Linked DNA regions of Arabidopsis thaliana. The protein of the gene in region 1 interacts with the protein of each later gene in a pairwise test. Each region holds a gene or a part of one and is shown on either strand. Other genes may lie near its edges. The genes, in order: AT1G09160 and AT5G61570.

What was found.
Region 2: the proteins of AT1G09160 (region 1) and AT5G61570 interact in a protein complementation assay, tested with the Arabidopsis thaliana proteins (one large-scale study listed by BioGRID).

What each region holds. Positions count from the first base shown.
Region 1 is NC_003070.9:2,953,853-2,957,782, forward strand, and holds the start of AT1G09160 (Protein phosphatase 2C family protein), read right to left. Parts: upstream 1,894-3,930; 5' UTR 1,632-1,893; intron 1,243-1,631; 5' UTR 1,208-1,242; coding exon 998-1,207; intron 920-997; coding exon 748-919; intron 656-747; coding exon 438-655; intron 311-437; coding exon 203-310; intron 120-202; coding exon 1-119. Other genes in the region: AT1G09170 (P-loop nucleoside triphosphate hydrolases superfamily protein with CH (Calponin Homology) domain-containing protein), read right to left, coding at 2,737-2,872, 2,954-3,417, 3,519-3,719, 3,815-3,930.
Region 2 is NC_003076.8:24,755,990-24,759,919, forward strand, and holds the start of AT5G61570 (Protein kinase superfamily protein), read left to right. Parts: upstream 1-2,199; 5' UTR 2,200-2,517; coding exon 2,518-3,037; intron 3,038-3,646; coding exon 3,647-3,930. Other genes in the region: AT5G61560 (U-box domain-containing protein kinase family protein), read left to right, coding at 1-239, 332-517.

The DNA.
Region 1 (3,930 bases):
ACAAGTTTAGCAGCAAGATCGGCAGATAAACCACGACAAGCTTTGGCAGCCACATCAGAAGACAGTATATCCCATATACCATCTGAAGCTATGATGAGTCTCCCTCCAGCATCAGGAAGCTGAACGTACAGATAAAAATACTTTTTGATCAATGTCAAATATAAGAATTAATGAAAAATGTACCAAGGGAAAGGGAGCTTACTTTCACTTGCTTAACGTGTGGTATAGGGACAATAAATTCTCCCACATCCGTATCACCAATGGACCTCGAAAGACATAAACCACCAGGCCAGCATCGTAGTGGGCCGACCTATTGCATTGGCATAATCAAAGCACATTAATATCATTGAAAATCCAAGGACTTCTTACACATTACAAACCCACCACAGCCAAAACACAATGAAACAGTAACTTAAATTCACTGGAAATGATCATACCTCATTGCCACCAAATACATTGAGTCTTCCGACCTCACCTCCACTAGCAGTTATGCGTTCTCTTTCTTCAACATTCTCTTCTAGCCTGTGATCAACAGTCAGTAGAGAAACCACACCACCTTGGGTGTCCAATATGCAGCGCGAGTCACCAACAGAAGCAACAGTAATAGTCCAACCATCAATTATAACAAAAGTCACGGTTGTTCCTGAAGTTTCCCCTGTAAGCACAACAGATCTTATCGGTTAGAGCATGCTTGAAAAACAAGAATAGAAAGCAAAAAGCCTTTAAAAAATAAGCATAAGCTAAGACCTTTCTGCTGAAATTCAATGTCAGTTTTCACAAAGCCAGCAACTAAAGCCCTAGGAAGAGCTTGAAGCCACTCATCCCTGCTTGCGCCTTGAGGAATTGCACTCACCACGTTTTCCAGAAGATGTTCCTTAGTATATATGGCAGCTGAATTACCATTGTGTCCGTCAAATATCTGAAGACAAAACAGAAAAAGGGTAAGCTATTCGTCACTAAAACAGAGAATCCTTAAAGGGAAGAATGCCTCAATTACCCCGAAAACTGAAAAAGCCGATGATGGATCACCAGGTACCCTTTCACAGTCAGTTTTGATCAAAAAGTAGTCCTCTCCTTTCTTAGCGAGAGCTGCTTGACCATACTTGACAAAAGGCTTCTCTACTTTCTCGCTCCTCAGCTCCCTACCAATCAGGGTCGCAAGAGGAACGAGCGAATGTTGCGTCCTCGATGCTTTTGACACGCTCATTTTAGTCTAGCCTTCAGCATTGGCTGGAACAAATTCTTTGTTCATCACAGAAAACAAAATTATTTAGTTGCTGCAAACATTTAGGGTTCAATTCTAATAAATAATACTAAGGAACCCTATAACAATCTATCTCCCTAAAAATGAGAACAAAATGGTAACCAACTTTACTAAATTTCGATTCTCATCCAAAAATTTGAGGTTTCTACGGAATTACTCAAAGATAAACTCTTTTTGGTTAATGGAACCAAACAAATAAAAAAATATAGAGAAAATGCAGAGGAAAACCCTAATCTAGAGAATTCTAGAATCTCCAACAATTGGCTATCTTTTGAGATGCAGGAAAATGTATCGAAAGTAGAATCGAGCAATAGCAAAATCAGTAAAAGAACACTAATTGAGGCTTCTTCGCAGTCAATAAACTCACCAAAATGAAATCGCGAGTAGTATACACAACAGATCTAGCAGAAAAGATGACTTGTAGATAATGCTAAGGTCGTCGCTGATTCTTCAGGAAAGAATTTCCGAGCCGTCTTCGGTAAGCGAACGGAAGTCTGAAACCGCGTGAGAGGTTTAAGAAAGGAGAAGAGAAACGAAGTTGCAGAGTGAGAGTTTTCTCAGATTGGGAAGAAACAGCGACGCGGGGGTTAGAGACAGCTAATTTTATTAAGAAATATGATGAACTTCTCGAAATTACTTAATTGCCCCTCAAAAGTCCCGCTTTAGGTAAGGAATTGTATTAGTATAGTTTTAAGTTTAATTATAGAAATCGTATATTCTTAAGTTTGATTATAGAATTAGTATTTTCTGCAAATGATTCGTGCAATATTTGTTTAAAGCATTTTTGTAATAAAAATAACAAATTTTCTTAAATACTTTCATAACGGACACATTTTTAGGGTAGGAGAATTTTTTTTTATTAACTTCTTTTTTCTTGGTCAAATTTTGATTTAACTAAATCTGATTGTGAAAAAAATCCGTATAGTAATATTTCTGTTTGGTTTTTTTTTATAAAAAAAATATCATAATGGACACAGTTTTCGATATGTGTTTGACTATTTGGCTAATTTGCTTGTAGCAGTTTTACATCACCATCCATCTAGTCAAACTGCCATCAAAAACTGATTTGGCTCTTATTAACTAACTAGTCTAGCTTAACAAAATATCAAACTATAAAATTGCTACATTGACAAATCATATTGTTAAAAAGTACATATAAATCGAGATTATGGAAAGTTTAAAACAGAAAATGTATAACTCTTGTGATGAATAAAATACATTAGCTTCGAGAAGTAATACTGTAGTAGAATACAACATCGGCCATAAAAAGAATGGAATATTCATTCTAGTAAACGCCACACAAATCAAACAAAACATATTCAACCTATAGTATAGTACAACTACAATCTATCACTCTCATACGTATTCTACTCTTCGTATACGGCGTCTGTATATATATGACCTCATAATATGAAATATGGGTCCGCCAATAATAATTGTATTCTTAAAATGCTCACAAAATGTTTTCATCATTACTTGGGATTTTGTCTCTTCTTCACAACTACTGTACTGTTGTTATGCCTTGAGGACGTTTGTCCTGGCGAGCTAATAGCCGCCCCAAGCGATAATGTCCTCGTAGGCGTCGGAATTAGCGAAGGTATCATACTCCTGATCATCAACATTATTACATTAGCTAAAACATTCTATTTTTATAAGAAAATCCAATCATTTATATAGTAAATAACTCACCTGGTCTCAGCAGCAACTCTACTTATTTTTGATTGATTCTTCTTTAGTTTAGTTGAAGAACCATTAGAAGCTGGTCTAGGCATATTCACTTGAACATTCAACTGCCACATCAAGTTAGTCTCCGAGCAATCACTTGTTGCGGTTTCATCTGACTCATTTGCTTCTTCTTCGTATGGAATCTTCCTTACCTCTAATCCTTTATCTACACTACTATTACACTTATTCTTATCTACACCTCGAGTTGCTTCACGTTTCAAGCTAGACGTTCGCTTCTCAAGCTGTGTATGTGCTCTGTTTTCAGGTTTGCTACTACGCGTGATTTCGTCCTCGTGTTTATCAACCCATTCACTTCCTGGTATAATAAATTCCATGTCCTCCTCTTTCCCATCTCTCGGCGGGGTTTTCCATGACGGTGAACCTACTAGTCCTTGTAAGTCAAGGCTAGATGCAGAGTCACTTTGACCCTGCAAGTAATTTCACTACACATCATGAAGTAATCACTGCAAAACGTATTAACAAGTTTGATTTGTTTTGTTTGGTGAATGAGTTTTCTTGTCCCCTTTACCTCAATGCTGTTGACATCATCAATCTGTGATGGCTTATGTTTGGTTTGGACCTGTCTTGTACTGTTTGCTGATTTTGAAAATGAAGACGAAACGCCAAGTGACTTTTTTCTGAGGAGTTTATCAGGAGTAAGGGGTCTTTGGAGCTGTGTTTGATCTGCCCCGCTCTCCTTTCTCGCTAGCGCAAGTTTCAAACTAGCAATCTGAAAGCAAATAACAAAGGTAACTGATGATTTGGACAATGTATTTTGAGAGAATGAATAGTATAATAATGTGAAGAGAAGTATATATGGTGGACCTGTTCTTTGAGTTCTTTAACCTCAGAAGTGTCCTTATTGACACGAGCAGCACCGAGGTCAACAGTGGCCACCCTCTCTGCAAATTTCAGGGTGCTGAGTGTTTCTCCCAAATCTT
Region 2 (3,930 bases), on another chromosome or scaffold:
CAGAGATCTTGGATAAAACTGCTGGAGATTGGCCGGTTAAGGAAGCTAAAGAGATGGTTATGATAGGGCTTAGATGTGCAGAGATGAGAAAGCGTGATCGTCCTGATTTAGGGAAAGAGATTTTGCCGGTTCTTGAACGGTTAAAGGAAGTTGCGTCTATCGCAAGGAACATGTTTGCTGATAACCTAATTGATCATCACCATAACGCTCCGACCCATTTCTACTGTCCAATAACAAAGGTAATGAATGATACGAAAATCTTACATTTTATGTCAGATTTTTGATACGTTATGTGTTTTGATTTGGTTTATGGGGTCATTGATGAAATTAGGATGTGATGGAGAATCCATGTGTTGCTTCGGATGGATATACGTATGAGAAGAGAGCGATTAAGGAATGGCTTCAGAAGAATCATAAATCTCCAATGACGGATTTGCCCTTTCCTAGTGATTCTCTTCTTCCTAATCATTCTCTTCTTTCTGCAATCAAGGAGTGGAGATCACAACTAATTAAATAAATTAATTAAAGGTTCTTAAATTTATACGGCTAAATTCGTCAATTAACATGAATCGTTGTGGTTTTTGTTTTGTCATACCATTCTTGCGCACAAACGTTGATGAAATATTCGAGCTTTTGTGTGTAAATTTTTTTTACCTTATTTGTTTGATTGTATTATAGGTTTTGACTGCATATTTGCAAGAAGAATATAATAGTGTTGATTTTTGTTGTGTCGTATTTTCTTATAAAAGTATACATATCAATACTAACGAAAAACATATATGAATCCAATCCAATATGAATATGAAAACTCTTCGTTTTTTAAAAATCTTTTAGTTGTGTATGATTTTATTATCAAACATGAGATAGTATCGTAAAAGTTGGCCTATCGTTTATACTACGAAGATACCCATATCATTTACTATTTTGTATTTTTGTTTGTTTCTCTAACATCTATCGGTTTCTTAGTGAAAAAAGTCTAAAATATTAAAATGGTATGTTTTGTCATGTTGGATTTTGTTGAATATATGCAATTGTTAACTAGGTTAGTAACTTAGTATACATGAGATGAGATCTGACACCTAGGCCATTAAATTGTGTGGGTTCTATATGATATAGCTATGAAAGACATAAATATGGTTATAGAATAATAAATGGGCTAGCCAAACGAATACTGAATTTACAAAAATAACATTTGAGCATTGTTCACACATTCTATCATGCACTTATCTACCTGGAATGATAGAGTTTTCTTTTTCCTTTATCCTTTTTTCATATAGTATTAGTTACAAACGAAGAAACTTTAACAAAGGTAAACAAATATACGTTAATAAGTTCGAACTATACGTCAATTATGAATTATGTCTAAACCAAACGATGTTCAAAACATAGAAGTAATAAGAATTACATTATAACAACAAACAGTATATGTAACTATGTAAGAGAATCATTGCAATAATTTATATTCTATATGTCGTTTAGTTTGCACACATGCACACATAGGGAAAAAGAACTTTATCCTAATATGAAGTGATTAAATATCAGAATGGAAATTATGCAATACAAATAGAAAAATAAAACAACAAAGTAAAAAATCTCTAAAAAAATTTAGTAAACAAAAGTTGCAATTGAGTTGTGGTTGTTGAAAGGGGAGTGACATGAAGGTCCCCCCACCACCTTATTTGATACGTATGGTGATTGGTGGGGCTATCAAAGGACCATTCGACGTCGGAGTATAATTTTGTCATTATAATCAAGATTTTCTCTAATTGAAACTCTACACTAACCTTTCTTTTGTTGTGGCTAATTTTTGTATACTTTGGACGTAATAGTTCTGTTATTGGCTCTTAAATGATGTGGAAACTATTAAGAAGGTTCCATTAAGTCTAAGTGTTAATTTCTCATTTCCTTAAACTAGAAAGAAGGTTCCATAAAAAGTTAAAAGGCAATGTCTAGTAAAGAGTAGTTAGGTAGTTTTCACAAGAAAAATACATCCTTTATAAGATTGATTAGCATTCCTAACATTTTTTTTTGGGAGGTGATTTCGTACCAAAAACAGAAACAAAATTTTAATACGTTTTCACAGTACAATGCCAAAATCTAATTCTAATATGACAAAGTTAAAATAGTCGTTCCAATAAATTGACCTATACAATTTGGTTTATACCAGTAGGTCATAAACTTATACAATTGGTTGAGAACTTGGCAGGGGAATAAAAACACACAAGTTTTCAATAATAGCGAACAAAAACAACTCATAAGTCCACATTGATACAACTAATTAAAACATGTTTCAGATCTCTCTATATCATTTACTTCATCTCCATCACATACCATCTACACATCTCTCTGTATCTCTACTGTAAACAAATAAAGTTTCAATTATTCATACACTTTTTCTTATTCCATTTTGTATTCTCACACCTAAAGATTCCAACTTTAAATCTCTTGCTTAATACTCAAAATCCAATTTCCTTGTCTACAAAAGAAAAACCAAAAAATCCAACACTATTCCATGAGATGAGAAAATCCCATTTGGTAAAACTGATACTTGCAGTATCTCTACCAACAACATTCTTGATCATGATCGCCATCATCATAATCTTCATCTTCTGTAGAAGAACAACAACAGAGACCAATGAAGTTCAATACGACGTCGAATCTCCTTACGAGAAACAAGAATTTTCCGATAACGGATCCGAAACAGAGGAGGAGCTTATCATCTTCAACGGTGGAGAAGATCTAACGATCTGCGATATACTCGATGCTCCAGGAGAAGTCATCGGAAAATCAAGCTACGGTACATTATACAAAGCGACGTTACAAAGAAGTGGGAAAGTTAGAGTTCTTAGGTTCCTTCGACCTTTATGTGCTGTGAATTCAGATTCTAAGGAGTTTAATGGCGTCATTGAGTCACTTGGGTTTGTTCGACATGATAATCTCGTTCCTCTGTTAGGGTTTTACGTTGGCAACAGAGGAGAGAAGCTTATGATTCATCCCTTCTTCGGTAGTTCCGGGAATCTTTCTGCGTTCATCAAATGTAAGTCTCTGTTTTCTACTCTGTTTTTTTTCTCTCGAGAAAATGCGAGGAAGCTGAAAAAGATTAAAAGGAACAAACTTTTTTAATTTTCGGACCAAAAGAGATGTCTTGAGTTCTCTTTTTAGCTGTCTTGATTCGTGGAATCTCCTAGATTCTTGTTTTCTGGGAAACAAACAGAGTCTTGAGTTCTCGTTTTCCCGGGTAAATGGTAAAAAGTTTTTAACGCACTTATCGTTACCTATATAAGATGTCTCTGTTTTTGAAATATCTATATCGAAGATTTCTTCGTCAGATGGAATCATATTGGTAACTGTAGTCGATCCATAAGAAATCGTCTTATCTTTTACATTTTCATAAATCGTAACATGGAATTGTTTTTTTTTATCTCTGACAAACAAAAAAGTAAGTTTGTTTATTTTGTTCTAGGATCACCATTATTGATCTAACTTTTGTCGGTAACTACTTTTTTTTGTCACTTCCCACTTAGTTTGCTCATTATATAAGACAAAATCTTTATAGATCTCGTTCCTTTAAAATCTGTAGAGCATCAACATCAGCATTAATTTTTCTAATCAATATTCAATAGGTTGTCTTAAAAACAGAGCATAGTTTTGGCAGGTGGAGATGTTGACGCACACAAATGGAGCAACATTTTGAGTATCACCATTGGAATAGCAAAAGCTCTTGATCATCTCCATACAGGAATGCAGAAACCGATTGTTCACGGAAATCTGAAGTCGAAAAATGTTCTACTAGACAAGAGTTTTAGGCCTAGAGTCTCTGATTTCGGCTTGCATTTGCTTTTGAACCTTGCAGCTGGGCAAGAGGTTCTAGAAGCTTCAGCTGCAGAGGGTTACAAAGCGCCTGAGTTGATCAAGATGAAGGAAGTAAGC